Stegostoma tigrinum: one gene and its partner. The protein of the gene in region 2 purifies or fractionates together with the protein of the main gene of each other region. This does not show direct contact. Links are inferred from orthologs where the notes say so. Each region holds a gene or a part of one and is shown on either strand. Other genes may lie near its edges.

Evidence for each region.
Region 1: the proteins of hspa12b (region 2) and eef2k purify together in Homo sapiens (affinity purification with mass spectrometry; 3 studies listed by BioGRID and IntAct, with this or other methods). This does not show direct contact. The link is inferred for Stegostoma tigrinum from reciprocal best matches to the Homo sapiens genes HSPA12B and EEF2K.

What each region holds. Positions count from the first base shown.
Region 1 is NC_081376.1:34,079,141-34,095,383, forward strand, and holds the start of eef2k (eukaryotic elongation factor 2 kinase), read left to right. Parts: upstream 1-9,445; 5' UTR 9,446-9,552; intron 9,553-16,243. UniProt on the Homo sapiens protein: Threonine kinase that regulates protein synthesis by controlling the rate of peptide chain elongation.
Region 2 is NC_081354.1:187,831,288-187,847,881, reverse strand, and holds the start of hspa12b (heat shock 70 kDa protein 12B), read right to left. Parts: upstream 7,764-16,594; 5' UTR 7,446-7,763; intron 7,177-7,445; exon of another isoform or gene 7,090-7,176; intron 1,534-7,089; 5' UTR 1,514-1,533; coding exon 1,486-1,513; intron 1-1,485.

The DNA of each region.
Region 1 (16,243 bases), on a different chromosome or scaffold from region 2:
ATGATCTTTAAATGGAGTGTTTCTTCCCGATATTACTTCTGAACAGCCTGCCTCTAATTTTAATATTATGACTCTTAGTTCTGGACTTTCTCCACCAAATGAAATGTGTCTCCGTGTCTAATGTATTGACTTTTTTAATCTTCATGCACACTTCGGGATCATTCCTTAATTCTCTTCCTTGCTCATACTGTAAAGGTAATTAGAGCTCCTTCAATGATCGAATGTGCATTCACTTTTAGAATGTAGCACACAGTCTGGAAGGTGACCGGTTAAACTTCTCTGGTGCATTGTACCAGTTGGGGTTTTTCAAATATTCTTTATGTACCTGGGATAGTTTTATTTAAATTGCTGCTCCTGATCAAATTTGTTTGAGAAACTTTCCCAGCAACGAGAATATCCCATTGATGCAGGATCCAGAATATAGTCATAAAAGCCTTAGCAGTCTAGCTGTATTTAAGCTTAAAAGTCGTGTGTTCTGGCCGATGGGAAAGTGAGGAGAGAAATGTTTCTTACACAGCAAAATAGCATTGGATAAAGACTCAAAGGAAGAAAATTGCATGAAAATGGGAAAATAGCAGGGATAATGGATATCACTTTCAAAGGGCTGGCGTGGTTATGTTGGCCCAAATGGCTTCATTATTTTATAATTCTTATTGCAGCTTGGAATATGTAAGAAAATCCAACAGAAAACTCTACGTTTGTTTAACAATGTTAGATACTTCAGTCTTAAGAGGATGATATATGGGCCTTGTGGCTTGCTCACTGACTGTACATTGAATCCATTGTACAGTAATCTTCATATTTGGTGACAAGTAATAAACATCATCTGCAAAGAGGGAAAGCAAACATTTTATTCCCTAGTACACTTTTATTCCCTGAGAATCTGAGACCCATGACCCCAGCCTAATAAACATCAAACTGCGTACTGTTTAAATAGCCACACTGGATACTTGTTCAGATTGGTATATCCAGTGCCATACTGAGGGAACTCCGCAGTGTTGCAGCACCAGTACCAAGGCTGCGCTGTACTGTTAGAAGGTCAGCACTGAGGGAGTGCTGCATTGATCAAGGATCAATACTGAATGCGAGCTGTATTGTTGTAAAGTCAACACTAGGAGTATTGCACTGTCAGTTAGTACTGTGAAAGTGTTGCACTAACAGAGTGTCAGTGCTAATGGAGTGCTGAACTGTTGACTGATCAGTACTTAGGGAGTGTTGCACAGTTGGAGGGGAAATAGTGAGGAACCATCACACCGTGAAAGGCTTAGTACTGAGGGAACAGTGCACTGTTGGGTGACAGCATTGGGAAAGTCTGACACTGTCAGGAGTACTGTCCTTTGGATGAAACATTAAACTGAGTTCCTGTTCACATTCTTAAGTAGATCGCAAAGATCCTGGATATTGAAGTTTAACCTGTAACAAAAATAACTGACCTTGTTTCCAAGCAAAGGTCAAAAAGTCTGAACCCTAATGGGCAGAGGGTCCCATGCATGCAGAGTGGGTCATGCCACCTGCAATAGGCCCAGCTGTCCTTTTACAGATTTGAAGGGCCTTACTATCCTGGTCACTGGAGGTGTGTTGATCTGTAATGAATTCGAGGCGTTTCAAGGCCCAGTGTGTTGAGTGTTATCCCTTGAAAATAATATCCAAGTGTTAATGAGACATTTGTGAGGCAGTGGCTCTAGATGCCTGGGTTAGTTGCTAACAAGTCCTGGGGATTTGTTTTGGTTGCAGTTGCAGTTTAATTTGCAGTGTATTGTTCTTCATCACAGTTTTCCTCATGTTGGTTTTTGATATTAGAGTAAAGACAGATATTGCAAGTTATTTTACTTTCTTGATTTGGTAAAAAAAATATATTTGCTTGTTTAAAACTGTGGAACCTTTGTGGCTTTATTCTATTAATAGGTAAAGGGATTCCCAAACTTTAAAAAACAACCTAACTGTACCATAACCAAACTTGGGGGTGATTGTAACAGGTTCAAAACCACGGATAAACATTTGGTCATTATCATGTTGCTGTTTGTGGGCATTTGCTGTGTGCACATTGGTCTGAAATGGATGCAGCCTCGATACCATTACCACTGGAAGAAGAGGAGGAAATTCCCCAAGATGTTCTGGATGCAAGAGATGGGCCACGGTCCAGTACACGTACCCTGTCTGAGTCCAAGTCAGAGGAACCAGACCTGAGACGAAAGTGGTCCAAGTGAAGCTACAAATGAAGGACTGGGCCTACATCCCCAGACTTAGCGGGAGAGCGATGCAGTGATTGGAACCAAGGGGACCTCAATGACTAAGTGGTTGTTGAATGGGATTGTTAGCATGGGCTAATCAGGAAAGCCTTGGCTGACTGATAATAACTAGGAGATTAGAATCTCCTTGGTTGAGGACTGACTCCCAAGCTGGCTGGCTACAGCCAGTGTACTGTGTACGGTAAATAAAGGGTGACTTGGTAACAGGATAGCAGCCCCTTTGCAGTTATTTCAACTTTTTTTTTATTCACAGAATGAGGGTTTCATTGGTCAGGCAGCATTTATTGCCCATCCTTAATTGCCCAGAGGGCAGTGATAGTCAACCACATTGCTGTGGGTCCGGAATCACACGTAGGCCAGACCAAGTAAGGATGGCAGTTTCCTTCCCTAAAGGACATTAGTGAATCAGATTTTTTTTTTCTTGACAATCATTACATTCTTAATTCCAGATATTTATTGAATTCAAATTCCACCATCTGCCATGGTGGGATTCAAACCTGAGTCCCCCAAACATTACTTGGGTCTCTGGATTAACAGCCCAGCAATAATACCATAGGCCATCGCCTCCCCAGTATACTCCAGATATACAGGAAACAATGGACAGATTAAACATGAATGTAATGGATGGAGCTTCTGACTGCAGTGTTAGAAGGCAGGAGTTTGGCTGCAATACTGTCTGCGGGAATCAAAGAAGGTCAGTCTGTCCACACGAATTGAAAGGGATTGACATGCATCAAATCAGACAAAAGAAAAAGAGGCAAAGTTGACAGAAAGGACTATCAAAAAAAATCTAAATATTATTATATACAAATCAATATTTCTCAAATCACTGCTGTCATCTCATGAGATTTGGTGCCTTCTGCATCTTCTGATTTTCCATATAATCCTGTACTTCTCTATTTGAGTACGTGACAATAAACCTAATTCTAATTCTAATCAGTATACTCCTGATGATTTCTTGCTTTCGGTTTGAAATTTACCTTTTTATTAAATTTGAACCTACACTTGCTGTTTAATTAGAGGTAATGTTTTAGAACATTCCCTTGAGCATCTTAAACACTTCTGTAAAATCATAGTCTCTAGGCCAGACTTAAACATTGCAAATTCTAAATCATTAGAATCAGATTTTTTTTAAAAATAGAAAACTTCCAGCTATTCAACACATTATGTCCTGTGCTGGCAGACAAAGAGCTATCCAGCTTAACCATGCCTTCCCGAAGGCTGGAGGAGACTTGAAGGGGCATTGTTCCCAGAAGTAAATGGAAAGCCCAAGAAATCTTAGCCCATATGCAAATCATTAATAACACAATGACCAAACCAAGTGGTTAATCATCAAAGTTTTGGCACGTCGTTGATTTGAATGTTTAGGGCTGTAAGATAAATGGATAAAAAAGGCAAACTGAATTGGGAAACTTGATTAGAAGTATAAGTAATTGTGTTAATTATATTTTTCTTAACTTTATTGTAATTGAATATTTAAGATTGAATTTAATTATTAAGGTTCATGTTCTTTGATTTGTATTAAGTAAATAGGCTTGTTTAAACAGGGAGCCTTGTGGTTCCGTCTTTTATTAAATACTTGGTTTTTTTGGACTCTTCAGCAAGGTACTGAAAAACAGGGGTTTTGTTGCATTACTTGACTTTGTATTTCAGGAACTATTGCTGGGGGTCACATTCAAACTGTGGTCTAACCAGAATCCTGGTCTGATTGAGCAGGTTAGTATGTTACCTCTTGGGTGACATCATCAAAGGCTGGCTGGCAGAGATTCTGAAGCAGAGAGGTTGTGGTCTGCGTTGGAGCCAATGACATGGGAAGAAAGAGAAATGAGGTTCTGCAAGCAGACCTTAGAGAGTTAGATAGAATATTGAAAAGCAGGACTTCAAAGGTGGTAATCTCTGGGTTATTCCCAGTTCCAGTGTAAGTATGGGGTGGTATGGTCGCTCAGTGGTTAGCACTGCAGCCTCACCACCAGGGACCTGGGTTCGATTCCAGCCTCAGGCAACTGTCTGCGTGGAGTTTGCACATTCTCCCTGTGTCTGCGTGGGTTTCCTCCAGGTGCTCCAGTTTCCTCCCACAGTCCAAAGATGTGTAGGCTAGGTGGATCGGCAATTCTAAATTGCCTGTAGTGTTCAGGGGTGTGTGGATTTAGGGGGAGGGGGATGGGTCTGGGTGGGATGCTCCAAGGGGTGATGTGAACTTGTTGGGCCAAAGGGCCTGTTTCCACACTGAAGGGAATCTAATCTTTAAATAAAAGGAAACAGCAGATAATGTCTAGTTGGAGAGATTACAGAGGAGGGATAGTTTAGGATTACTGAGACTTTGGGACCATTTCTAGGGGAGTTGGGACCTGTACAAATTGGACAGGTTACATCTGAATCAGGGTGGAACTAACATCCTCATGGAGAGGTTTGTTAATGCTAACTCTAAATAAAAGCAAAGTACTGATGTTGGAAAACTGAAATAAAAGCAAAATCTTGGAGAAAATCAGTGGGTCTGCCAACATCTGTGGAGAGAGAAAAACAGTGTTAATGTTTATGAGTTTGCTTCATATCTTCTCTCTCCGAGACACTACCAGATGAGTTTCTCCAGCATTTCTGCTTTTTTCAGGCTCTGACAATGCTGAGAGGGCAGATTTAAACTAGATTGGCAAAGGGATGGGATCCTGAAAAGTAATTCAGACGGAAGAGAAGCTAAGGTAGAATTAAAATTTAAAATGTGAATAAATGAGTCTGGAAGGCAGAAGAAACAGACAAGATAAGAAAGAGATAACACAGTGTGAAGCTGGATGAACACAGCAGGCTGCTGCTCGGCCCGCTGTGTTCATCCAGCTTCACACCGTGTTACCTCAGATTCTCCAGCATTGGCAGTTCCTACTATCCCTGTAAAAAGATAAGAAAGAAATGAATTTAGCCAGGCTAAATGGAATTTATTTTAATGCAAAGTGCCTGAGGAATAAGGTAAATGAGCTGGTACAGTGTATTCAGATGAGATAAAGAGGGGGGTTCAAGAGGAGGCAAATTGTGATATTGGTCAGGAAATCAGTTACAGCAGTGAGGAGGGACAATATCTTTAAATAGTAATCAGATTAGGCCATATCAGTAGGAATAGAAACATAAAAGAGGAAAAGTTGGATGTGTACCACAGGCCTCTTTACAGTTAGGGAGAGATAGAACAGCAAACGTGATCAAATTTCAGGGAAGTATAGGAATAAAAAAGTAGTAATAGTTGGGGAATGTAACTACCCAAATATTAACTGGGACAGTTCTAGTATGCAAGTTAAAGAAAGAACAAAATTCTTAAATTCCATCCAGAAAAGTTTTTTTTAGCCTGGATAAAGGAAGCATGACAAAGCAGGAGGCGGTTCTGGAACTAATATTCAGAAATGAACCTGGACAGGTTAAAGGTCTAACAATACAGGAGCATTTTGGAGATGTGACCATAGCTCATTTGGCTTCAGGATAGTTGTGGAAAAGGATGATAATGGGCCAGAGGATAGGCTAAGATATGATTTGATCCAAGTGGACTGAATGCAGCTATTTACCGATAAGACATTGTCATAACAATGGAAGACATTCAAGCAAAAAATAGAAAGTCTACAGGATAAATTTCCAGGAAGACAAGAGGTAGGACCAGGTCCGAAAATCCTTGGAAGGGACACAAAAGCAAAGGCTTAGAAAATCCCTATGACAGCTCAATATGACAGAGTTGTAGAGGAATATATAAAGTGCAGAGGCAACACAAAAAGGAAATTAGAAAGCTATAGAGCATGCATGAGAAAGTGTTGTTGGGTGGTTTACAGGATATCCCAACCGGGTTCTTAAATGTATAAGCAGAAAGAGAATAATTAGGAAGACATTAGGCCCCATTAGGGAACATGGAGTTAGTCAGTGTATGGTCCCAGAAGACATAAACAGTCCTCAATGAATACTTTGTACGGTCTTCATAATGGAAAAGGACAATATCAGTATTTATATATCTAGATGGAAGACTGTGAAATATTAGTAGAAATGAACACAGAATGCCAGTGGAGGTACTAATGGGTTGAGCAACTGTAAAGTAGATTACTGTAGGCCCAGATGACAGTTGTGGGAGGCAAGGGAGAAGATATCAGGGCTATGGTAGTATATTTCAAAACCTTTCCAGCAACCATTGGAGTGCCAGAGAACTGGATATCTGCCAGCATTGTCCTATTATGAAAAAAAAGAGGAAGGGCTACACCAAGATATTATAGGCTAGTTGGTCTAACCTACATGGTGGGGAAGTAATTAGAGCAAATTCTGAGGGACAGTATATATCTGCGTTTGGAGGGACATGATCAGTCAAGATTGTCAATGTGTACTTGTTCAGGGAACAATATATTTGACAAATTTGATTGCATATTTTGAGGCGGTAACTAGGAGTGTTGATATGATCTACTTGGATTTTAACAATATTTTTAGTAAGGTTCTCTACAGCAGACTGGTCAGGAAAATAAAAATCCATGGGATCCATGACAAAGCAGCATGTTGGATCCAAAACTGGCTGAGAATCAGGAAGCAGAAGGTGATGGTAAAGGGATATTTCTGCGATTGCAAGTTTCGTTATAGTGAGGTTCCACAGGCTCAGTACTGAGGCCTTGCTATTTGTGGTGTATATTAATGATTTTATATGGGATCCACAAAACCCTGAAGGTGGTAGGATGGGTTAATAAGGTAGTCAAGAAGGCATAATGGGACACTTGCCTTTATCATCTGTGGCATAAGTTATAAGAACATGAAGAATATGTCAGAGCTGTAGAGAATGTTGGTTAAACCACAGCTAGAGTAGTTTGTACAGTTATGGTCACCACCCTAAAGGAAGGATGTGATTGCACTGGAGGGGGTACAGAGGGGATTCAGGATGTTGCCTTGGTTGAAGCTCTTCAGCTATGAATAGAGAAAGGATAGGCTCATTTTGTTTTCTTTAGAGTGGAGAAGGCTCAGGGAGAACCTGATTAAGGTGAATAATGTTATATGGGCCATGGGCAGCATGGATAGGAAGGTCCTCAATTGAAGGGTCAATGATGAGGGGACCAATAGCAAAGGGAAGGAGAATTAGAGGGATTTAACAGAAAAGACAAATTCACCAAGAGGTGATGGGAATTTGGGATGTGCTGCTTAGGAGGGCAGTAGAGGCAGGAAACCTCATAACCTTTAAGAAGCATATGGATGTACACTTGAAATGTCACAACATTCAAAGCTATGGGCCAAGTGCTAGAAAGTGCGATTGGTGTAGATAGGTCAGCACAGCCTCAATAGGCTGAGGACCTCTTCTGTGCTGTATGACACTATTTGAACTTCAATGCAGGGGGTAAAATGAAAACATTTGTGGATGATTTGAGAATTGGTTGGGTGGTTAATAGTGAGGAGGATAGTCATAAACTACAGGAAGATATCAATAGATGGATTAGGTGGGAAGAGCAGTGGCAAATGGAATTACCATCAGCAAAGTGTGAGACTTATGGAGGACTAACAAGGCAGGAGATTACACAATGAATGCTAGGATACTTCCACGTGATCCTTAAAGGAAGGTAGATAATGTGGTTAGGAAGGCGTATGGAATACTTGCATCTATTAGTGGAAACACAGAATACAAGAACAAGGAAGCTGTGCTGGGACTGTATAAAGTGCTGGTTAGGCCCCAACTGGAGGACTGTATGCAGCTCTGGTTGCCAGATAATAGCAAACAGGTGATTGTATGAGTGACGGTGCAAAGGAGATGCTGCCCAGGATGGAGATCCGAAGCTGTAGATAGACTGGGGTTATTTTCCTTTGATCAGTGAAGATTGAGAGGAGACCTGATAATGTATAAGATTATGAGGGGCATTGAAAGGGTGAATACAAAAATACTTTTTCAGTTAGTAGAGGGGTAAATAACAAGGAGGCATAAATTTAAGGTAAGGTGTAGAGAGTCAAGGATTTTTTGTTCACTCAGAGGTTTTGGAAATCTGGAAATCGTTACAGCACTTCAAAGAGTGATTGAGTCAGAAACTCTGGCAAGATTTAAGCAGTATTTACACATTTACTTGCCTTGTCACAACTTCCAGGATTCCCTGCCTGGAGTTAGTATTCCTGCATCAAAAGTTACTGGCATCCATCTATACTAGAATGAAATTTCCTCTGAGCTCTGGTGCTCTCTGATTTCTGTTGCAGCACTATTGGCAGCCTTGTCTTCAGTTACTGAGGCCTAATCTATGACAGTCTCTGCCTTAAACTGTTCTGACTCCTTATTGTCCTTTAGGATGCTGCTTGAAACATAACCCTCAGCTGTCCTAACATCTCCTTACATGGCTTGGTCTCCATTTTTTTGTTTCATATCACTCTTTTGAAGCATCTGAGAGCAACTCACTAGATAAATTTAAGAGTGATTATAGCACAGAAGGAGATTATTTGGCCCAGTGAGGCAGTAATGAAAATTACGTAGTCCTCCAGCCAAAAATAACTTGAGGAAAACCCACGGGATAGTGGAAACCTGGGACTCTCTACCCTAGGGGCTATTGAATCAGAAATTGTTGTTACGTTAGAGCAGTATTTTCATTTATGCTCTCGTTGCCTCCAGGGTCAAGTGCCAAAAGCTGGTAAATGAGATTAGTGTAGGCAGATCTTAATTGACCAACGTGGACACAGTGGGCCGAATGGCTCCTTCCTTCTGTGCTGTAAATTGATTAATCCGAAAATGTTTCGAGACAGCAAGTGCTTGAAGAGCTGGAATGCACTGGCTGAAAAAGGTGGTATTTGCACGTTCAATCGTGGCTTCGCTCAGGGACATGAATAAAAATCGAAGGGAAATAAGATGCTGGACTGTGGGGGGAAGGTGGAGAACTGGGACAGCTGGACGTAGATTGCTCGAGCGGAGAGCTGACACAGGCTTGATAGGCTATGTGGTCTCCTTCTTTTCTGCAACAATACAACGATTGTTTCTATCAAAATGTCTTTGGTTATGATCTGAATAGCTAGTTGAACGTGCAATCTTCAAGCTCTATTATTCAAAAAGTTATGATGTGCTTGAATGTTTTGGAAAAGAAAACACTTATGGCAGCGGTGGGATTCGAACCCACGCCATCGAAATGACTGGAGCCTAAATCCAGCGCCTTAGACCACTCGGCCACGCTACCGCAGTGGAGTAGGCGCTTCCCAGCCGGTATTTCCCAGTGTTTGCGCAGCCGCACTGTCTACGTTGTCTGTTGCTCTGGTTGTTTGATTCCGGTTTTTATAGGCGGTGCACGCGGCGCTCGCCAGCGGCCTGAACCCGGGATCAGGTCTTCACCTCCGTCCCCGATTGACGGTAGGTTCGGGTTGTTGGACATTGACCGGGTGCTTTCGGAACATTCGACCGGCAGACTCCAGGCGAGAGGCGTGGGCCCTCAACTGTCATCTGAGGGCTTGTCCTGCCTCAGGAGGTGGAGGGAGAGGGACAGGTGAAGGAAGGCCAGGACAGGTTTAGGTTTAAGTTTAGGTTTAGGTTTAGGCGATGGAGCGGTGGGAGTAGCATGGGGAGACAGACGGGACATAATTAGCAGTAGGGGCAAATAGAGCAGAGGCATGTTTGGCGTCGGTGGGGAATGGTCAGAGGGCAATATTTTATCTGCATGATCGTACTCCATAGGGTGTCAACTCTGATTGTTTTGATTTTAGGACTTGGAGGGTTTTTGAATCCACACACTTCCGTCTTGCAGATAGGGGTGCCACCAATAAACCCTTCCTTATCGAGAATGCTGGTCATCATAACCCAGAACTGAAAACATAGCCATACATAATGAGGTACAATATGCTGGAAAGAAGGGACCATACCCCACTACCTATGAAAGGAAAGTTAAGGCAAATGTCAGGAAGAACTTCACTCAAAGGTGTGGTGGTGGTGGTGTTGGTGTTGGACTGGGGTAGACAAGGTCAGAAGTCACACGACACCATGTTATAGTCCAACAGGTTTGTTTGAAATCACAAGCTTTCAGAGTGCTGCGCCTTCATTACTCAAAGGTTGACAGCTCAAATAAACTTTCAGAGATAATGGGAACTGCAGATGCTGGAGATTCCAAGATGATGAAATGTGAGGCTGGATGAACACAGCAGGCCAAGCAGCATCTCAGGAGCACAAAAGCTGACGTTTCGGGCCTAGACCCTTCATCAGAGAGGGGGATGGGGGGAGGGAACTGGAATAAATAGGGAGAGAGGGGGAGGCGGGCCGAAGATGGAGAGCAAAGAAGATAGGTGGAGAGGGTGTAGGTGGGGAGGTAGGGAGGGGATAGGTCAGTCCAGGGAAGACGGACAGGTCAAGGAGGTGGGATGAGGTTAGTAGGTAGCTGGGGGTGCGGCTGGGGGTGGGAGGAAGGGATGGGTGAGAGGAAGAACCGGTTAGGGAGGCAGAGACAGGTTGGACTGGTTTTGGGATGCAGTGGGTGGGGGGGAAGAGCTGGGCTGGTTGTGTGGTGCAGTGGGGGGAGGGGGTGAACTGGGCTGGTTTAGGGATGCAGTGGGGGAAGGGGAGATTTTGAAACTGGTGAAGTCCACATTGATACCATATGGCTGCAGGGTTCCCAGGCGGAATATGAGTTGCTGTTCCTGCAACCTTCGGGTGGCATCATTGTGGCAGTGCAGGAGGCCCATGATGGACATGTCATCAAGAGAATGGGAGGGGGAGTGGAAATGGTGTGCGACTGGGAGGTGCAGTTGTTTGTTGCGAACTGAGCGGAGGTGTTCTGCAAAGCGGTCCCCAAGCCTCCGCTTGGTTTCCCCAATGTAGAGAAAGCCGCACCGGGTACAGTGGATGCAGTATACCACATTGGCAGATGTGCAGGTGAACCTCTGCTTAATGTGGAATGTCATCTTGGGGCCTGGGATGGGGGTGTGAGTAATGAAGGCGCAGCACTCTGAAAGCTTGTGATTTCAAACAAACCTGTTGGACTATAACATGGTGTCGTGTGACTTCTGACCTTGTCTACCCCAGTCCAACACCAACACCACCACCACCACACCTTTGAGTGAAGTTCTTCCTGACATTTGCCTTAACTTTCCTCTCACCCCCATCCCAGGCCCCAAGATGACATTCCACATTAAGCAGAGGTTCACCTGCACATCTGCCAATGTGGTATACTGCATCCACTGTACCCGGTGCGGCTTTCTCTACATTGGGGAAACCAAGCGGAGGCTTGGGGACCGCTTTGCAGAACACCTCCGCTCAGTTCGCAACAAACAACTGCACCTCCCAGTCGCACACCATTTCCACTCCCCCTCCCATTCTCTTGATGACATGTCCATCATGGGCCTCCTGCACTGCCACAATGATGCCACCCGAAGGTTGCAGGAACAGCAACTCATATTCCGCCTGGGAACCCTGCAGCCATATGGTATCAATGTGGACTTCACCAGTTTCAAAATCTCCCCTTCCCCCACTGCATCCCTAAACCAGCCCAGTTCACCCCCTCCCCCCACTGCACCACACAACCAGCCCAGCTCTTCCCCCCCACCCACTGCATCCCAAAACCAGTCCAACCTGTCTCTGCCTCCCTAACCGGTTCTTCCTCTCACCCATCCCTTCCTCCCACCCCCAGCCGCACCCCCAGCTACCTACTAACCTCATCCCACCTCCTTGACCTGTCCGTCTTCCCTGGACTGACCTATCCCCTCCCTACCTCCCCACCTACACCCTCTCCACCTATCTTCTTTGCTCTCCATCTTCGGCCCGCCTCCCCCTCTCTCCCTATTTATTCCAGTTCCCTCCCCCCATCCCCCTCTCTGATGAAGGGTCTAGGCCCGAAACGTCAGCTTTTGTGCTCCTGAGATGCTGCTTGGCCTGCTGTGTTCATCCAGCCTCACATTTCATCAAATAAACTTTCAGATAGGTTAGCAAAAATGTAAACCATAAGCTCTTTCAAGCTTAAGAAATAAAGAAAGGGAAAAAATCCCTGAGAATTAAAGGGAAATTATTTTCTCTTTGAATGAGGCATCCAAATCTGATGCAGACAAAGAAATTTTTGGAATAATCATAGAATTACAGAATGAGAAAGTATTGAAGGAGTCACTTTGGTCCGATGTGCCTGTGCCACTTTTTAGAAAGAGCTGTATTACTAGTTGCACTCCCCTCTGTTTCCCCATAACCCAGAAAAATCTTTCCCTTCAAGTATATAAGCAATTGCTTTTTGAAAGTTATGATTGTATTTGCTTCTTACGCCCTTTCAGGCAGCATACCCTACATGATAACTAGCTGTGTAAAAAATGTAGTTTCTCATGTTGAATCTGCTTCATTTAATAGATGTTAATAAGGACAACTTGGCATGGTTAGATTCACAATTGTTGTTGCTGGTGCTCAGTTCAATGTTGGGTAGTCTGCTGGTTTCATTCCTTTGTTTAGACTTTAGTGTTTGGTATAACTGCGTGGCTTGTGAGGCTTCAGAGAGCATTTAAGAATTAACCACATTGTTGTGGGTCAAGTAGGCCAGGCCAGATAAGGCTGGCAGATTTTCTTTTCTAAAAGGAGGACATTAGATCCAGATGGTTTTTACAATCAACAATGGTTTAATGGTCGTCATTAGGATAGCTTTTAATTCCTGATTTATTAATCAAATTCAAATTTCACCATGGTTGGATTCAAACTTGTGTCCCCAGGGATCGGTTTGGATCTGTGCATTGTCACATTACCATCGGGTCACTGACTCCCTTTAAGGAGCATTTTTAAGGAGGGAATGCCAGAGCTTAAGCTGAGTAAGATGAAGGCACAACCATCAATAGAGTGATGAAAACCAGGGACATGATTGGTCAGAACTGGAGGTGAACAAAGATCTTGAAAGGTTGTCGGGCTATAGGCTGTTGCAGAGATAGGAACCATTGTGTGATTCAGGTGATGCTTACAGATTGTTAACTTGTGCAGGTGGAGGGGTCCAGAAGTACCTTGCAGGTCTTTGTTCACAGTAGGAGATTGGCCCTTTAGTTGGATTAATTCTTGTAATCAAAAGGACTAAATATGCCTTTAGAATAGAGTAAGGAATAAGACCATAAGATGTAGCAGCAGAAGTAGGGCATTTAGCCCATAAAATCCACTTCACCATTCAACGAAATCATGGCTGTACTTGTAATTCTGAACTCCACTTTGCTCCCTTTTCCCATAACCCTAGATTCCCTGACTGATTAAAAATGAGACCATTTCAGTCCTGAATATACTTAATGACCCACCCTCTACAGCTATCTGTTTCATTACTCTGAGAGGAGAAATGCCTTCTTATCTGTCCTATCTGGGTGACCCCTGATTCTGAGATTATGTCTCTCATTCTAGGTTCTCCCACATGAGTAATCAAAACCTATATTCCCTGTAAACCACGTGACCACTCTGATGTTCAGCGACTGGCATAAACATGCCAGTCATGGCATTGACTTCTGTTTCCAGAAGTTGCTGCCACTCACACATTTCAGGAGTTCATGCAGTTCACAAAATTAGAGGGAAACCTGATCAAGACCCCTAGGAATCTTAAATGAAATCAGAAAGTGCTGGAGAAACTCAGCAGATCTGACAGCAGGTCTGAGAGAAAAACAGAGTTAATGTTTTGAGCTTAGTGAAACTTCATCAGAACTGGAAGGGTCACTGGGCTGTAAATGTCAACTCTATTATTTCTCTGTACTGATTGCTACCAGACCTGCAGAGTTTTTCTAACAATACCAAAATGAACTAGAGGAGGGTATAGATGGTCTGATTAGCAGGTTTGCAGATGACACTACGATTGGTAGAGTGGCAGATAGAGAAGGGGACTGTCAGAGAATGCAGCAAAATAGAAATAGATTGGAGAGTTGGGCAGAGAAATGGCAGATGGAGTTCATTCCAGGCAAATGTGAGGTGATGCATTTTAGAAGATCCAATTCAAGAGTGAACTATGTGGTAAATGGAAAAGCCTGGGGAAAGTTGATGCACAAAAAGATCTGGGTGTTCAAGTCCGTTGAACCCTGAAGGTGGCAACGCAGGTTGATAGTGGTCAGGAAGGCATACGGCATGCTTTCATTCATCGGATGGGGTACTGAGTACAAGAGTTGTCAGGTCATGTTACAGTTGTATAGGACTTTGGTTCGACCACATTTGGAATACTGTGTACAGTTCTGGTCGCCACATTACCAAAAAGATGTGGATGCTTTGGAGAGGGTGCAGAAGAGGTTCACCAGGATGTTGCCTGGTATGGAGGGTGCTAGCTATGAAGAGAGGTTGAGTAGATTCGGATTATTTACATTAGAAAGACGGAGGTTGAGGGGGACCTGATTGAGGTCTACAAAATCATGAGAGGTAGAGGCGGGCACGATAGCGTCATTTGAGATGTATCTAGACAGATACATGAATGGGCAGGGAGCAGAGGGACACAGATCCTTGGAGAATAGGCGACATGTTTAGATAGAGGATGTGGATCGGCGCAGATTTTAGGGGCTGAAGAGCCTGTTCCTGTGCTGTAATTTTCTTTGTTCTTTGTTCCTGTTTTTTTGTTTCAGGTTTCCAGCATTAGCAATTCTTTGTTTTATTTTACCCTACGAATCGTATAAAAACAAAGAACAGTATAGCACAGTAACAGGCCCACCCAGCCTGCACCAACATATGACACTTTTTGAAACTTAAAACCTTTTTTTGCTGTGCAGTCTGTGTCCCTCTATTGCCTGCCTATTCATGTATTTGTCAAGGTGCCTCTTAAAAGTTGCTTTTGTATCAGCTTCTGTCACCCGCCCCCGGCAGTGCAATCCAGGCACTTAGCCACCTTCTGTGTAAAACAAAATGGTCCTCTGTCATCTCCCTTAAGCTTGCCCCCTTTAACCTTAAACCTGTGACCCCAAGTAATTGACATTTCTACCCAGGGAAAAGGACTTTGACTATCCATTCCATCCATGCCTCTCATAATTTTGTAAATTTCTATCAGGTTGTCTCTCAGCCTCTGGCATTCAAATGAAAACAAACCGAGTTTGTCCGATCTCTCCTCATAGCAAATACCCTCCAAACCAGGCAACATCCTGGTAAACCTTTTCTGTACCCTCTCCAAAACTTCTGCATGCTTATAGTAGTGTGGTAACCAGAACTGTACACAGTATTTCAAACGTGGCCCTAACTAAAGTTCAATGCAGCTGCAACATTACTTGCCAATTTTTATACTCCATACCCTGACCAAGAATGCCATATGCCTTCTTGACCACCTTATCCACTTGGTGTTGTTACTTTCAGGGAACTATGGACCTGTACGTTTAGATTGGTCAGTGTGTTAATATTTCTAAAGGTTCTGCTATTTCCTGTGTAAATCTCTTTCAGCATTAGACCTTCCAAAATACATCACTTCATATTTGTCAGGATTCCATCTGCCATTTCTCCGCTCAACTCTCCAGCCTATCCTGCTGTATCCTCTGACAATCCTCCTCACTATTTGTAGCTCCATCAATCTTTGCGTTGTCCACAAACTTACTAGTCAGACCACCTATATTCTCCTCCAAATAAATTATTTACTGAAAACAACAGGGGTGCCAGCACTGACCTCTGCCTTACACCACTGATCACAGATCTCCAGCCAGAAAAACACCCTCCCGCTGCTACTTTTTGTCTTCCATGACCAAGCCAGTCCTGTATCTGTCTAACGAGCTCACCATGGATCCCATGTGACTTCACCATCTATATCAGTCTGCCATGAGAGATCATGTCAAAGGCCTTTCTAAGGTCCCTGTAGACAACTATCCTAGTCCTCATGAATCATCTTTGTCACTTCCTCAAAAAACTCAGTCAGGTTTGTGAGATACGACCTCCCCTGCACAAAGCCATGCCTGTTGCTAATAAGTCCATGTTTTTCTAAATGTGATTGAATCCTGTCTCTGAAAATCTCCTTCAATAATTTCTCTGCCACTGATGTAAGAATCACCAGCCTAAAATTTTCCACATTATCCCTGGTGCCCTACTTAAACAAAGGAAAAACATTGGTTACTCTCCAGTCCTCTGGGACCGATTTTCTGTGACTAAAGAGGATGCAGAGATTTCA
Region 2 (16,594 bases):
GTGTGTAAGACTGTGTGTGTGTGTGTGTGTGTGTGTGTGTGTGTGTGTGTGTGTGTGTGTGTGTGAGAGAGAGAGAGTGCGTGTGTGTGAGAGAGAGTGCGTGTGTGAGAGTGCGTGTGAGAGAGTGCGGGTGAGAGAGTGCGGGTGAGAGAGTGCGGGTGAGAGAGTGCGGGTGAGAGAGTGCGGGTGAGAGAGTGCGGGTGAGAGAGTGCGGGTGAGAGAGTGCGCGTGTGAGAGTGCGCGTGTGAGAGAGTGCGTGTGTGAGAGTGCGTGTGTGAGAGTGCGTGTGAGAGAGTGCGTGTGAGAGTGCGTGTGAGAGAGTGCGTGTGAGAGAGTGTGAGTGTGTGTGTGAGAGAGTGTGAGAGTGTGAGAGTGCGCGAGTGCGAGTGCGTGTGAGAGTGAGAGAGAGTGTGAGTGAGTGAGTGACTGTGTGTGTGTGTGTGTGTGTGTGTGTGTGTGTGTGTGTGTGTGTGTGTGTGTGTGAGAGTGTGTGAGTGTGTGAGAGTGCGTGACTGCGTGAGTGGGGTTAGACACTGTTCTGGCCCCTCTGCGCTCCCAGGGCACACGTCCCTGCTCTGTACCTTGTCTGCAGGCTGCTGTTTGGTGACAGTTTGGGGAACAAGGACCCAGACTGAGCTCCGTCTGGCACCGCTTCACAAATGAAGAATGCTGAGGTTAGAGCCCTCAGGAGACAAGTCACCAACTATAATTACCGAGACCAACCAGCTCCGTGTGTGAGCCAAATTCTCCTCATCCCCTGCCCAACTGTCTCCTCTCTGTCTGCACCACCCTCACCCTCCCTCTCTGACTCTGTGAGCGCCTGTCTTTCTGCGCCCCCACCCCCCACCCCCCATCGCCCTCTCACTCTCTCTATTTCTACCCTGCCCCTCTCTGCAGCTTCCTCTCTGGCTTTCTACCTCTCTCTTTCTCTCTCACACACAGTATGGTTGTCTCGCTCTATCTATTCCTCCACACCCCACCCCTCTCTCCTCCATTATCTCCGTCAGTATCCTCTACCCGCTCCTGTGTTTTGCCCATAGATGCCATGGCTGGATGGTGGGACTGGAAACCACACTGGTGCGAATATGAGAATGTTATTCACCAGGTGCAGACAGACCTAAAATGTCATCACACTCCAAGTGGAAAGTGGGGCTGCTGCAGACTCGGGGCAGTTTTTGACAGGATGGGCCGAAGGGTCTTTTCAGTGCTGTTTGACTCTAGGAACCTTCTTCCCTCACATAGTCTAGCACCTTGTTGATGACTGTATGAGAACGTAGCTACTAAACATACCCAAACCATCTCCACCGCACCCCGCTCCAAGTCTTTCCCTCCGCCCCAGATTCCATTTGCAGCTTTATTCTGCTCCGATTTCACCCCCAAGCCCCACCACCATCAGTTCTTTCATCAAAAACCCACAAGCTACAGCAGTGATCCTGCTTTCCGTGAGGGATATTTTTATCTGACCGCGATCTGGGGCGTGCTCACCTGTCTTCTGCCTGCCTTTGGTGCTCATGTTGTCAGTCAAAGCAACTCCTGAAAAACAGCAGAATGTTTTCCCATCATTGACGGTGAATTGCTCGAATGCACTTCGCGGTGTCCCGCTAACATCAGGCCCATTCCACAGGCCTGAGTACAAAACTCAGAGATACTCCTAGCATCGCTCTAATCCTCCCCATCTCTGTGCGAACCCTCATTCAGAGATTACACCCGCTTGCAAGCGTCTCACAAAGAGCTAAACAAATTCCCCATGTTTTCCCTGTAAAATCCCGAACAGCCTTGTCTGTTTCAATCAGGTCACCTCTCGGCCTTCCAAACTCCAAACAGTACGGGCCCACCCTACCCAAGGCAGTCTCTCCAGACCTTGTATAGTCCGAGTGAACATTCTCAAACAATTTCCAACAGAGAAACATGAGGGGATTTTAGGTCAGATGATTAAATGCTTTGTCAAATAGAGAGCAGTGTTTTATACAATCCCGAAAGTGTGGCAACAGGCCACTTGGCCCATCAAGTCCACACTGATCCTCTGAACAGCATCCCACTCGTACTCACCTCCTTATCCTATCCCTGTGTCCCTGCATTTCTAATAGCTAACCCACCCTAACCTGGGAGGAAACCCACGCAGACACGCAGAGAATCTAAAACTCCGCACAGACGGTCGCCCGAGGGCGGAACCGAACCCAGGTCCCTGGCGCTGTGAGGCAGCAGTGCTAGCCACTGAGATACCGTTCTGTACGCTAGAGGAAAGTGAAGGAGAGAGGGCATGGAGAGGTTTGAGGAGAGAACCACAGAGTTTGGGGCCCAGGCGACTGAAGGCGACGGTGGAGTCAGGCCTGTTGTAGTGGCCAGACCTAGAGAAGGGCAGGCATCTCAGAGGGTTCTAGGGACTGGAGGAAGTTGCAGAGATAGGGAGGGGAGAAACCATGGAGAGATTTGAAAATTGGGGCATTGTTGGTCAGCAAGTGTAGGAGGGATTGGGGTGAGCTCAGACACTGGTAACAATCCCAAACGTGGGAGAGCAGTCATTAAACTGTCAAGTCTGAAGGTGACGGAGGGATGGACTTGGGTTGAAGCCCCTGATTGGCTGAGACAGGGTAAAGGGAAGTGTACAGTCTCAAAGACAACACAACTTTCTCCTTGAGGTCAGGTATGGCCTGGAGAATGTGAGTTGAGTTCAGCCTCGCACTGCAGAAGGGATGGAGTAAGGAGCGAGAGAATAGGGTTGGCAGTGAGAACTAAACTCAATGATTTAGGGAATTTCTGCTCAGCTGCCAGTGGTAGGCTGACAATTTAGAAACATTGGAATAGTCCAGAAAGATAATGGTTAAGTGGATGGGTGTTGCCATTATCCACACCACACAAATGCCAGGCTATGACCATCACCAGTAAGAGAGAATCTTTGACATTCAATGGTGTTACCATCACTGAATCCCCCACTGTCAACATCCAGGGGGTTGCCATTGACCGGAAACTCAACTGGACTCACCACGTAAACACAGTGACTTCAAGAGCAGGCTGGAATCTGGGAATCCTGCGGTGTGTAACTCCTCTCCTGACTTCCCAAAGCCTGCCCACCATCTACAAGGCACAAGTCAGGAGTGTGATGGGATACTCCCCACTTGCCTGGATGGGGGCAGCCCCAACAACACTCAAGAAGCTCGACACCATCCAGGACAAAGCAGCCACTTGATTGGCACCACATCCACAAGCATCCACTCCCTCCACCACCGACGCTCAGTAGCAGCAGTGTGTACTATCTACAAGATGCACTGCAGAAATTCACCAAAGATCCTCAGGCAGCACCTTCCGAACCCACAACCACTTCCATCTAGAAGGACAAGATGGGGGGGTGTGAAAGGAGACTGGGATGGCACGGTGGCTCAGTGGTTAGCACTGCAGCCTCACAGGGCCAAGGACCTGGGTTCGATTCCAGCCTCGGGTGACTGTCTGTGTGGAGTTTGCACATTCTCCCTGCGTCTGCATGGGTTTCCTCCCACGGTCCAAAGATGAGCAGGTTAGGGTGGGTTGGCCATGGGAAATTGCCCATTAGTGTCTAGGGTGGGAAATGCAGGATAGGGGAGGGGGTAGGTGTGTCTGGGTGGGAGGGCCTTCAGAGGGAGGGTGTGGGCTTTTTGGGCCAAATGGTCTGCTTCCAGACTGTAGGGGCTCTCTGATGACTGTGCGTGAGTGGGTAAATGGCTAAGGGGAATGTGGGGGTGTAGGGTGAGAGGCTGATTTGGGGGGTGGGGGGTGGGAGTGTGGGGCTGATTTGTGGGGTGGGGGGGTGGGAGTGTGAGGCTGATTTGTGGGGTGGGCGGGTGGGAGTGTGGGGGTGTGGGAGTGTGGGGCTAATTTGGGGGGTGGGATGCACAGTGAAGTGGAAGTTCTAGGTCTGGGCTCTAGGGGAGAGAGTTGGGGGAGTGGGAAATGAGTGTGAGGGGAAGGGTCTGGTGGAGGGAGGTAGGTTTAGGATTGTGTTGAGAGATTGGGGAGTGGGTCTAGGGTGCTGGAGGATAAGTGTCGAGCGTGGGGGGGGGGTCAAGTGCCCATTCTGATTGTCAGTGCGAATTGGAGCGTGAATTTTATAGAAAGTGAGGAGCTGCTGAGAAATGCCCTCGCTGTCCCGCTCACTGACACAGAACCGAAACACTCATGAGAAATGGACAAAAACACAGCAGGCCATTCAATAGGATCGCAGCTGATCCAACATTCCTCACATTCCACTTTCTTGCCCTTTCCCTGTAACCCCTCATTGTCCAACTGTTGGAGAATCTGTTTCAGACTTACATATACACAAGGACTCTGCCCCCACAGTTCCAAAGACGCACAGACCTCTGAGAGATGGCATCGTTCCTCTTCTCAGTCTGGTGCCCCTATAATCTGAGACAATGCCCTCTGGTCCTAGACTCTCCGACGAGGGGAAACATCCTCTCAGCATTTACCCTGTCAAGTCCCTTAAGAATCTGATCTGTTTCAATGAGGTCACCTCTCATTCTTTGAAACTCCAGTGATGATGAGCCAATCTGTTTAGCCTTTGCTCATAAATACTCCCCTATCCCAGGGACTACTGTGGTCAACCTTCTCTGAACTGCCTCCAATGAAAAAATATCTTTCCCTAAACAGGGGGACTCAAACTGCTCACAATACTCCAGAGAACGGCAGATGCTGGAGAATCTGAGATAGCAAGGTGTGGAGCTGGATGAACACAGCAGGCCAAGCAGCATCAGAGGAGCAGGAAGGCTGACGTTTCGGCTCTGGACCCTTCTCCAGAAATGACTCTTCTTCTGGAGAAGGGTCCAGACCCAAAATGTCAGCTTTCTTGCTCGTCTGATGCTGTTTGGCCTGCTGTGTACCTCCAGCTCCACACCTTGCTATCTCAGTTCTCCAGATGTGGCCTCACCAGCACCTTGTACAGCTGTGATAAGACTTCCGTACTCTTTGCTCCAATCCCTGTGGAATAAGGGACAACTTTCCCTTAGCCCTTCCTGATTCCCTGCTGCCCCCTGTGCACTAGCTTGCTGTGTTTCATGTACTAGGTACCCCCCAACTCCCGAAATCTGTTTGTATTGAAGTTTTCTGTGGCTCATAGTCTCTGAGTAACTCAGAGCTGGTGGGTGGGGATCATTATGGGAGGGATGTAGATCATCCACCCACCATCCTCTGCATGGTTCCCATATACTGCCCCATTCTCCAGCAACAACAGCCTCTAACCTTCCCCATAATAGCTCCACATCATGGCAGAAGCTTCCGGAAGCAGAGACTGTCCATCGGCATGGTGATCGGCGTTCACGGGCCGCACCAGGGCTGAGGGGAGGGCATTGACTGCCTTCCTCAGGGAGTGGGCCAGAGGGGCAGAAATAGGGCAGGGCCCGGGATTTGATCGCTGGGTGGGGAGCAGACATGAGGGTGTGGGAGCAGGGATGGAGAAGCCTGTTGTGAGAGATCCTCTGGCTGCGATCGGGTGGATCAGAATGGATCCGGGTGCGTTGCAGACCCTCCCCATCTTCGCCCACCCCACACACCCCCAGCGCTCCACAACACCCACCCCCACCCCCATCCCACTCTGCCAGGTAGAGAAGGATGGCGCAGCGAAAGGCAGGTAGAGAGGGATAGCGCAGGAAAGTTCCCCTTCAGCACGGGAGGCCACTCAAAAAGTTAAGGTTACCACGAAATGTCAGAACCTGTGAGCTGTGCTTTCAAGTGCGGTCATTTCTTACAGAACGCCATGGCAGACTGATACACAGCAAGATCCCAACTCCTACAACAACTGTTCAGGGCGCAGTTGTATTGAGGATGGGATATCAACCCTGGGCGTAGAAACCAGGAGCAGCTATATGCCATTCGGCCCATTCAGCCTGCTCCCCCATTTGATACAATCACAGCTGATCATCCAACTCAGTTCCCTGTTCCTGCTTCCCCCCCGCCCCCGTCGATTCCCGTTGATCCTTTTAGCTGTAAGAACGATATCTAATTCCTTAACAACATTCAATGCTGTAGCCTCAAAAGCTTTCCCTGGCAGAGAATTCCACAGGCTCCCCGCTCTCGGGACGAAGACTTTTCCCCTCATGGCAAAACTAATTCCAGGAAAATAACACGGACGGAAAATCCCGAGATCCAAGAGACAGCTCGTGGGATTTTTAAATGCAACTGAAACACAAAATTAGACCGTGGGAATAATGGATCATGGCAAAGACTCAATTACCACAGTGCATTACTCAAATGGCACAGACCCTCTGACAGTGCAGCACTCCCTCAGTACTGACCCTCTGACAGTGCAGCACTCCCTCAGTACTGACCCCCCCGACAGTGCGGCACTCCCTCAGTACTGACTCTCCGACAGTGCGGCACTCCCTCAGTACTGACCCTCTGACAGTGCGACACTCCCTCAGTACTGACCCTCTGACAGTGCGGCACTCCCTCAGTCCTGACCCTCTGACAGTGCGGCACTCCCTCAGTACTGACTCTCCGACAGTGCAGCGCTCCCTCTGTACTGACCCTCTGACAGTGCAGCATTCCCTCAGCACTGACCCTCCGACAGCGCAGCACTCCCTCAGTACTGACCCCCCCGACAGTGCGGCACTCCCTCAGTACTGACCCCCCCGACAGTGCGGCACTCCCTCAGTACTGACCCCCCCGACAGTGCGGCACTCCCTCAGTACTGACTCTCCGACAGTGCGGCACTCCCTCAGTCCTGACCCTCCGACAGTGCGGCACTCCCTCAGTACTGACCCTCTGACAGTGCGGCACTCCCTCAGTACTGACCCTCTGACAGTGCGGCATTCCCTCAGTACTGACCCTCTGACAGTGCGACACTCCCTCAGTACTGACCCTCTGACAGTGCGGCACTCCCTCAGTACTGACCCTCCGACAGTGCGGCACTCCCTCAGTACTGACCCTCCGACAGTGCGGCACTCCCTCAGTACTGACCCTCTGACAGTGCGGCACTCCCTCAGGACTGACCCTCCGACAGTGCGGCACTCCCTCAGTACTGACCCTCCGACAGTGCGGCACTCCCTCAGCACTGACCCTCTGACAGTGCGGCACTCCCTCAGTACTGACCCTCCGACAGTGCGGCACTCCCTCAGTACTGACCCACGATTTGGTGACTGGGGTAAAGCAGAATCCAGTCAGATTTGGATGATGTGTCCTGGTTAATAACCCAGCCTGGGGTAGTCCCTCTGTTCCTGTATAAAGACTGACTCTACAGCGTTAGTGCAGTGAATACTGCAGTGAGGGGAGGGAGAGATTGGGAACCACCCCTTCCTTCCCTCCTTCCATCCATCACTCCCTTCCTCACCCCCTCCCTCCATCCATCCATCCATCCATCCCTCCCGTGTCAAACCTGAGACATTGAAATGGTTAAAGATCAGGAATATCTCGCTGTGAGGGAGAGCTGCAGCTGGAGGAGAGAAGCTCAGTTTTGAGCAGACCCGGGGTTACATTCTTACCTGGTCCTTTATCTACAACATTCCCTGTACTTTCTGTGTTAGGTTGGGAATGCAGTGCCACCGGGAGATGTTGGAGAGGATCGAATGAGTTTGCGAAGCCTGTTCCAATGGTGTCCTGCGAAGTTCTGCCTGTTTCTCTCTCCCCTCCAGCCAAAGTGAGCTGGGGGCCTGCCCCGAGATGGTCAGTTTGCTGTCGGGGAGCAGGGCTGTGTGCCAGCTCCTTCAGAGATGTTCATTCGAGGGAGGAGAGTGTAAACGGGCTCCTCGGGAGGTCAGCACAGCTTCCCCAAAGCAGCCCCTTCCTGAGCGAAACAGGCAGCCTCGCCCAGACCGCATTAACCCTTCGACAGCTGCATCAGGCTGACTCGGGGAGAGAGACGGTACAAGCTCATCACACACACTCCCTCACACACTCCCACTCACTCCCTCATACACACACTCACTCCCTCCCTCATACACACACTCACTCCCTCTCTCACACACACACTCACTCCCTCTCTCACACACACACACACACTCCCACACACACACACACGCACTCATTCCCTCACACACACACACTCCCTCCCACACACACTCACTCCCTCACACACACACACTCACTCCCTCACACACACTCCCTCACTCCCTAACACACACACTCACTCCCTCACACACACACTCACTCCCTCACACACACACTCCCTCACACTCTCACTCCCTCACACACACTCACTCCCTCACACACACTCACTCCCTCACACACACACTCCCTCCCTCACACACACTCACTCCCTCACACACACACTCCCTCCCTCACACACACACTCTCACTCCCTCACACTCACACACACACCCTCACACTCACAGACACACACACTCCCTCACACACACACACTCACTCCCTCACACAGACACACACACTCACTCCCTCACACACACACACACTCTCTCCCTCACACACACACCCTCACACTCACAAACACACACACTCCCTCACACACAATTCACATACTCTCTCTCTCACACACACCCTCTCTTTCCCTCTCTCTAACACACACACACAAACACACACACACACGCACCCTCTCTCTTTCACACACACACTCACCCTCTCTCTCTCACTCCCTCACACATACACACACACACACACACACACACACGTACAGTCTTAAACTGCCACCCACACATGAGCCAACGTCCTTGTGGTATTTTCACAATTTCCCCAGGGCTGTCGGTGTAATTAGTCTGGAATGTACTGCCTAATGATGGCCATAAGACAATTGTCAGGGAAAAACCCATCTGGTTCACTAATACCCTTTAGGGAAGGAAACTGCCATCCTTACCTGGTCTGGCCTACACGTGACTCCAGACCCACAGCAATGTGATTGACTCTGAACTGCCCCCTGGGTAATAAATGCTGGCTTAGCTAGTGATGGCATCATTGAATCAGTGAATTAAAAAGAAACAAGCTCCTCCACATGAGTGACCCTCACCCCCAATGTTTACGTACTCACACCCCATCAGACTAAGGCCCACACCATCACCTCAAATAGTGCAAACCGCAGACCCCCATTTTGGATTAAAAAGCCACGATTAATTTCTATGGAAAGGAGGTCTAAAGATGATATTATGAAAACTTGGGAAGGGTTTATACAACTTAGAAACATAGAAACTGGGAACTGGGGTAAGCCATTCAGCCCCTTGAGCCTATCGTGCTCTTTGGTGAGATCATGGCTGATCTCTGATGAAGGGTCTAGGCCCGAAACGTCAGCTTTTGTGCTCCTGAGATGCTGCTTGGCCTGCTGTGTTCATCCAGCCTCACATTTTATTATCTCAATTCCCTGTTCCCACTTTCTCCCCAAAATCCCTTTGATCCCTTTAACCCCAAGAACTCTGTGTGATTCCTTCTGGAAAAGATTCAATGTTTGGGCCTCACCTGCTTTCTGTGATAGTTAATTCTACAGGCCCCCCATTCTCTGTGTGAAGATGCTTATCCTCAACTCAGTCCGAAATGGATTACCGTTGTATCCTTCCTGTTTCTAGACTCCCCGATCTTCGGGAACATCTTTCCGATGTTTACCCCTGTCCAGCCCTGCCAGAGTGATATAGGTTTTGATGAGAACTCCCACCGTTATTGTTCTAAATTCCAGTGAATATAGTCCTAATGCAGTATCTCTTCATATGTCAGTCCCACCAGTCTCACCAGATGGTGACACAGTCTCAGCCCCTCTCTTTCTATGAATTTATTCCAAGCAGCTGAACCTGGTTGTGGAGCAGGGTGAAGGGGCTGTGTGCTGCTTCACTGGGACCTGGGTTCGATTCCACCCTCTGTGTGGAGTTTGCACATTCTCCCCGTGCCTGCTTGGGTTTCAGGTTTCCTCCCACAGCCCACTGACGTGCAGGTTAGGGTGGATTGGCCATGGTAAACACACACTCACAGGAAGAGGATGGGTGGGTCTGCATGGGATGCTCTTTTGGAGGGTCATTGCCGATTTGATGGGCTGAATAGCCTGTTTGCACACTGTAGGCATTCTCTGAAGCACCTCACTGCTCTAATCCCATGTCCCAGCACTTGGCATCACAAGTACAGACCTGAACACTTTGTCTATGTGCTGAGGACTTCTGCCTCTCCTACCCTGACATGCAGGGAGTTCCAGGCTCCCCTTCACCGCTGGGATTCCTCACATCCCCACTAAACCTCCTGCCTCTTTCCTTAGACACCCTGCACGCTGATCTTTGAGCCCTCCATCTTCAGGGGGAGAGTCTGTCCCTCTCTCTGCTGTGAGCATCCCCAGTCTATTGGAGTTAGTTCGGAAAGTCTGTAGAACTGCTTTTAACGATGTTTATGCTTGTTTGATGGCACTTCATTGGATCTGGAGAATGTAGTGGAAGCACAGCGATGGAATTTTTCTAGTGCCCCTTGCTGAGGTGTGGGGCCCAGAACTGGACGCAGTCTGGGTTCTGCTCAGTTGATGTCTCTGCCCTGATCCAGAGGAAACTGGCTCTTCGCTTGCTCCTGTGCCTTTCTCCCGCAGGCATCGCGAGAGCGTTCGGCGAACCCTCCCAGGTCCTAGATGCCCCAGGGGTATTATCCAAAAACAAGATGCTGTCCCTACACTGAAACCAGTCACCACCACCGCCCCCCCAACCCCCGAGCTCACCACCAGGTCTCTCACTCTTACTTCGTGAATCAACCCAAACCCCATTTCTAGGCAGGTACAAACTTCCTCCAGCTCAAAATTGGGACCACCATAGACCCTCTCATTGGTCACATACACAGGCTCCACTTCCTAGCCTCCAATATCATCCGTAACGACCATCAGAGGGACAGATCCAGAAGGTTCTATGATCTCCTGCAGCCTCAGTGCACCTGACGATGAGTATGTGATCTCGGTGCTAGCCCCACATTTCAACACAATAAGAACGGCCCCCCACACCCACCCAAGTCCACACCCCCAGGCACTCCCCCACCCCCTGCCAGGCTCAACCCTATCCCAAACCGCATTGGGCCATCTTCCTACAGTTATCTACAGCAGTTTCCAAACCTGGGTCCTCACTGCCCCCACCCCCACACCCTACCACCGCGCGCCCCCCCCCCCCCCTTCCCCGACTCTACTCCAGAGACGAGGACAGGAAATCTCAAACTTGACACCGTCCAGGCGATTCCGCCATTTTTATATCGAGGGCAGCAGATACACGAGACCACCACGCCCTGCACGTTCCCCTCCGAACCCCTCACTGCCCTGACGTGGAAATGTATCGCCGTCCCTTCACTCGCCCTGGGTCACAATCCTGGGAATTCCCTCCCTAAGGGTCACCCCACAACAGCTGGGCTGCAGCGGTTCAAGGAGGCAGCTCACCCCCCGCCCCCACCTTCTCAAGGGGCAACTAGGGATGGGGCAAGACATGCTGGGCCCAGCCCAGAGACTGCCACATCCTGGGAGTGAATACAGAAGCCCTCAGTGGATGGATGAGGTGAGGTGGGGTGGGGGAGGTGTTTAGCTGAGCAAGGGCATTACGGGATTGAAAGGGCTGGGATTGAGTGGGGTTTCTGGTTCCTGTCACACCCCCGATGCCGCGGTGAGGCCGAGGAAAGCGTTAATCCTGGCCCTGGGAAAGGCTAGGCCTTGTTAGTGTTCTCTCTCTCTTCCTCATTGGATTGGAGCCAGGAGACAGTGGGATCAATTCACTCTCCACAATCTGGAAAACATTAAGCCCCTCGATGCAGCACGGCCGGGGCGGGGCCTGGGGGGGGGGAGGTGCGGGGGTTTCGGGGAGAAACAGGAGAGTACACGGGTTAAGGGGCAGAAATGGGGAGGGGGAAACGGGAGGAACAGCGAGAAGAAACGGGGAAGGAGGGGACACATAGGGAGGGGGAACAGGAGGGGACACATGGGGAGGGGGAACAGGAGGGGACACATGGGGAGGGCGAAATGGGGAGGGGGAACAGGAGGGGACACATGGGGAGGGGGAACAGGAGGGGACACATGGGGAGGGCGAAATGGGGAGGGGGAACAGGAGGGGACACATGGGGAGGGCGAAATGGGGAGGGGGAACAGGAGGGGACACATGGGGAGGGGGAACAGGAGGGGACACATGGGGAGGGCGAAATGGGGAGGGGGAACAGGAGGGGACACATGGGGAGGGGGAAATGGGGAGGGGGAACAGGAGGGGACACATAGGGAGGGGGAACAGGAGGGGACACATGGGGAGGGGGAACAGGAGGGGACACATGGGGAGGGGGAAATGGGGAGGGGGAACAGGAGGGGACACAGGGGGAGGGGGAGAAACAGGTGTGGAGAAATGGGGGTGAGGAGGGGGAGTTGGTGAGTGGAACTGAAAATTGTTGATCTATCAAAGACTCTCCCTCAGCGCTCACTCAAACCTATCTCAGCCCACTTACCCCTCACACAGCACTCACCTTCCCCCTCACCCCCTCACACCCCTTCAGAACTCATACCCCTCACTCCTCACACTGAACGCCCTCACCCATCAGCCTTCCCTTCCCTACTCCCCTCACTGCTGTCAGCCTGCACTCCCCTCACTGAATGCTCTCTCTGTCTCCTCTCCATTTCTTCCTTTCTCATTCCCTGTCATTAGTATCATCCGTCTCTCTAATCTCTCTCCACACCTCTTCCAGTCAAGTGGTACTCTCATTGTTTCTCTCTCTGCCCGTCTGTCTGTCTCTCTCTCTCCCTCTCTCTCTCTCTGTCTCTCTCTCTCTCTCTCTCCCTCTCTCTTCTGTCAGTCTGTCTCCCTCTCTCTCCCCCCCCTCTCTGTCTCGCGCTCTCCGTCTCTCTCTCCCTCTCTCTGTCTGTCTCTCCCTCTTTCTGTCTGTCTGTCTCTCTATCTCTCCCTGTCTGTCTCTCTCTCTCCCTCTCTGTCTCTCTCTCTCCCTCTCTCTGTCTGTCTCTCTGTCTCCCTCTCTCTCTTTCTCTCTCTGTCTGTCTGTCTCTCTCTCTGTCTCTCTCTCTCTCCATTTCTCTTTGTCTGTCTCTCTGTCTCTCTCTCACTGTCTGTCTCTCTCTCTCTGTCTGTCTGTCTGTCTGTCTCTGTCTCTCTCCTTCTCTCTCTCTCTGTCTGTCTGTCTCTCTCTCTCTCTCTCTCTGTCCCCCAGTGTCTTTCTCTCTCTCTCCCCTTCTTTCTGCCTGTCTGTCTGTCTCTCCCTCTCTCTCTGTGTCTCTGTCTCTCTCTCTCTCTGTCTCTCTTTCACTCTGTCTGTCTCTCTCCCTTTCTGTCTGTCTGTCTCTCTCTCTGTCTGTCTCTGTCTCTCTCCTTCTCTCTCTATCTGTCTGTCTCTCTCTAAATCTCTCTCTCTCTGTCTCTCTCTCTCTCTCTGTCCCCCAGTCTCTCTCTCTCTCTCTCCCCCTCTCTCTGTCTGTCTGACCCTCTCTCCCTCTCTCTCTCTGTCTCTGTCTCTCCCACTCTCTCTCTGTCTTTTGTCTCTCCCTCTGTCTCTCCCTCTGTCTGTTTCTCTGTCTCATGGTCTCTCTCTCTCTCTCTCCATCCCCTCTCAGGACACTGTATCTCCAATCTCTTGTCTCTCTGAGTAATTGTGTGTGACGGTCGGCCTGTCGAGCCCCCCACCCTTGCCCAGGGCTGTGACCCAGGCTCTGATGCTGCAGGCCTGATCTGTTCTTCGGTTCTGAGAGCAGCTTTGCGTGCTGTGGAACAATGGGCGCCTGACCCGCCTCTCCCAGTATACAGAGACTTCATTTCCGTCCGATATCCCGTGCTGAATGCAGGGGAGTCTGACGAAGCTCCCGAGGGAGAGGCGGGCTGCACCCTACAGGAATTCCAACTCAGTCACAGGCTGCTCCTCCCAACACACACTTCCCATCTGTCAGAGACCGGGGCATATTCTCACCCCACACTCTACCTGTGTTACAATCAATCTGCAATGTGGAGGGAGCTTTACTCTGCATGTAACTCCATGCTGTCTGTGTCCTGGGAGTGTTTGATGGGGTCAGTGTAGAGAGAGCTTTACTCCGTATCTAACCCCACGTTGTCCCTGGGGAGTGTTTGATGGGGACAGTGTAGAAGGAGATTTACTCTGTATCTAACCCCGTGCTGTCCCCGTCCTGGGGAGTGTTTGATGGGGAGAGTGTAGAGGGAGCTTTACTCTGTATCTAACCCCGTGCTGTCCCTGTCCCAGGGAGTGTGTGATGGGGACAGTGTAGAGAGAGCTTTCCTTTCAGTTTAAAAGAGTAGAGGGAGATGTACTTTTCTTTAGTCTGAGCAAGTGCTGTGATATAAGCTCTCGCGATGCGAAGTGGAGCCCTTGGCTGAGCGTTATCGAGTTGCGGGGAGGGTTCACACAGGGTACATTGTAAACTTTCAAACAGCATTTAACAGAGAGCTGGAGCTCCCAGTCTGTACTCATGGGGCAGGACTCGAGAGGGAGGGAAACCCGCACTCCCCAGAGTGCTGACCCTCAGACCCACTATCCCACGCACACATCCAAACCCCCACGTTGCGGCTCTACAGGACATTGGTTCGGACCACTATTGGAGCACTGTGTGTAATCCTGGTCTCCCTGCTATGGGAAGGATGTTGTGAAGCTTGAAAAGATTTACAAGGGTATTGCCGGGGTTGGAGGGCTTGAGCTACAGGGAGAGGCTGAATAGGCTGGGGCTATTTTCCCTGGAGCGTCGGATGCTGAGGGGTGACCTTATAGAGGTTTATAAATTCCTGAGGGACATGGACAGGGTGAATAGACAAGGCCTTTTCCCCAGGGCAGGAGGAATCCAAAACCAGAGGGGCATGAGTTTAAGGTGAGAGAGGGGAAAGATTTAAAAGGGTCCTAAGGGACAACTTTTTCACACAGAGGGAGGTGTGTGTGTGGAATGAGCTGCTAGAGGAGGTGGTGGAGGCTGGAACAATTACAACATTTAACAGGAATCTGGTTGGGTACATGAATAGGAAGGGTGTAGAGGGATATGGGCTGAATGCTGGCAAATGGGGCTAGATCACTTTAGGATACCTGGCCAGCACAGAGGAGTTGGGCCGAAGGGTCTGTTTCTGTGCAGTGAGAGTCCGTGTCCATCCAGGAGAAAGCATAGCCCCGGACCAGTGCCCCATCCACCACTTTCAACACTCCACTCCCTCCACCACTGGCGCTCAGCAACAGCAGTGTGTACTATCTACAAGATGCACTGCAGAAATTCACCAAAGATCCTCAGACAGCACCTTCCAAACCCACGACCACCTCCATTGGGCACCCAGGGGCCCCACCAGCTACACCCAGCCAATATCTTTGGAAAAGATTCCCTGATTTTCGAGGCTGGAGGTGTCTAAAAGATCCATGGAAGTTATTTTTAACTGACAGTGGGATGTGTTTTCAATAAAAGTACAAGGCTCGACCCAGCCTGGCCTTCCTGTTGAAGTCACCAAATATTCAGATCTCACCATCAACAATGTGCTTTATGTAGCAGCTTGAAAACAGGGAAATATCCCAGATTAACGGGAGAGCGAGCACTCTGAATCTCACACTCGCCATTTAAGGAGGTATTAGCTCAAGAGAACATTGGTGAGGCAAACAGATCTGTTACAGAGGAGGGTCCTAAAGGAGGGGCATAGAGAGAGAGAGAGATAATGAAAGGGACAGTGAGCAAGTCAGGCAGTGAGAAAGAAAGAGAAAGATAGTGAGAGAAAGTGAGTGAAAGCGAGAGAGCAAGACACTGAGAGAGAAGAGGGAGAGTGTGAGAGAAAGACTGAGAGAGTAAGGCAGTGAGACAGTGGGGAAGCCAGGCAGTGAGACAGTGAGTGAGATAGTGAGTGAGCGAGACAGTGAGAGAGTGAGGCAATGGGGTAGTGAGGGAGTGAGAGTGAGAGACTGGGGCAGTGAGAGAGTGAGGCAGTGAAAGAGTGAGGGGGTGAGGAATGAGGTGGTGAGAGAGTGAGGGAGTGAGGAATGAGGTGGTGAGAGAGTGAGGAAGTGAGGCTGTGAGGGAATGAGGCAGTGACAGAGTGAGGGTGAAAGTGAGAGAGTGAGGCAGTGAGAGAGTGAGGGTGAAAGGGGTGGAGCGGTTTCGGATGAGAATTCCCAGAGTTTGAGGCAGGGATCGCAGTGGGCTGGGATGTGGACGTACCTGTGTGCAGAATGTGAGGAGGGCAGCGATCTGGAAGGAGTGCACGGCTTCAGGAGATTCCTGATGTCGGGTAGCAGGGAAGACCATGTTTGCATTGGAAAGCAAGGATGGGAACTCTAAAGATACAACATAACAGGAGACCATTCGGCCCAGAAGGTGCCTTTGAGAATGCTATCCAATTTGTCCCATCCACTGTGCATTGTGATCTTCCCTTTGAGCTGCCTGTTGTGGGAGATTGCTTCAGCGTCATTGTCTTGGCAGAGATCAGTCAGGGGGTCAATGACACTTGTCCTCCCGTCCTGGCTCGATCTTCAACCATTGCCCCACACCTTACAACTGGTTCTAACCCCCCACCCCTCCTTGTACCCACCTCATTCCATACTGTGAGTCCTGACTATCCATTCCACATTAGGGCCAACACTGACAAGGTAACGAGGGCAGGGTAAGCGGTTGGGCTTTGGGTGGTGTCACAGAACAGAGAGACCCAGGCCTTCAGGGACATAACTCTGTGAAATTTGTGTCGCAGCTAGGTGGGATGGTTAAGAAGGTGTGCAGCACGGTTGCCTTCATCGCTCA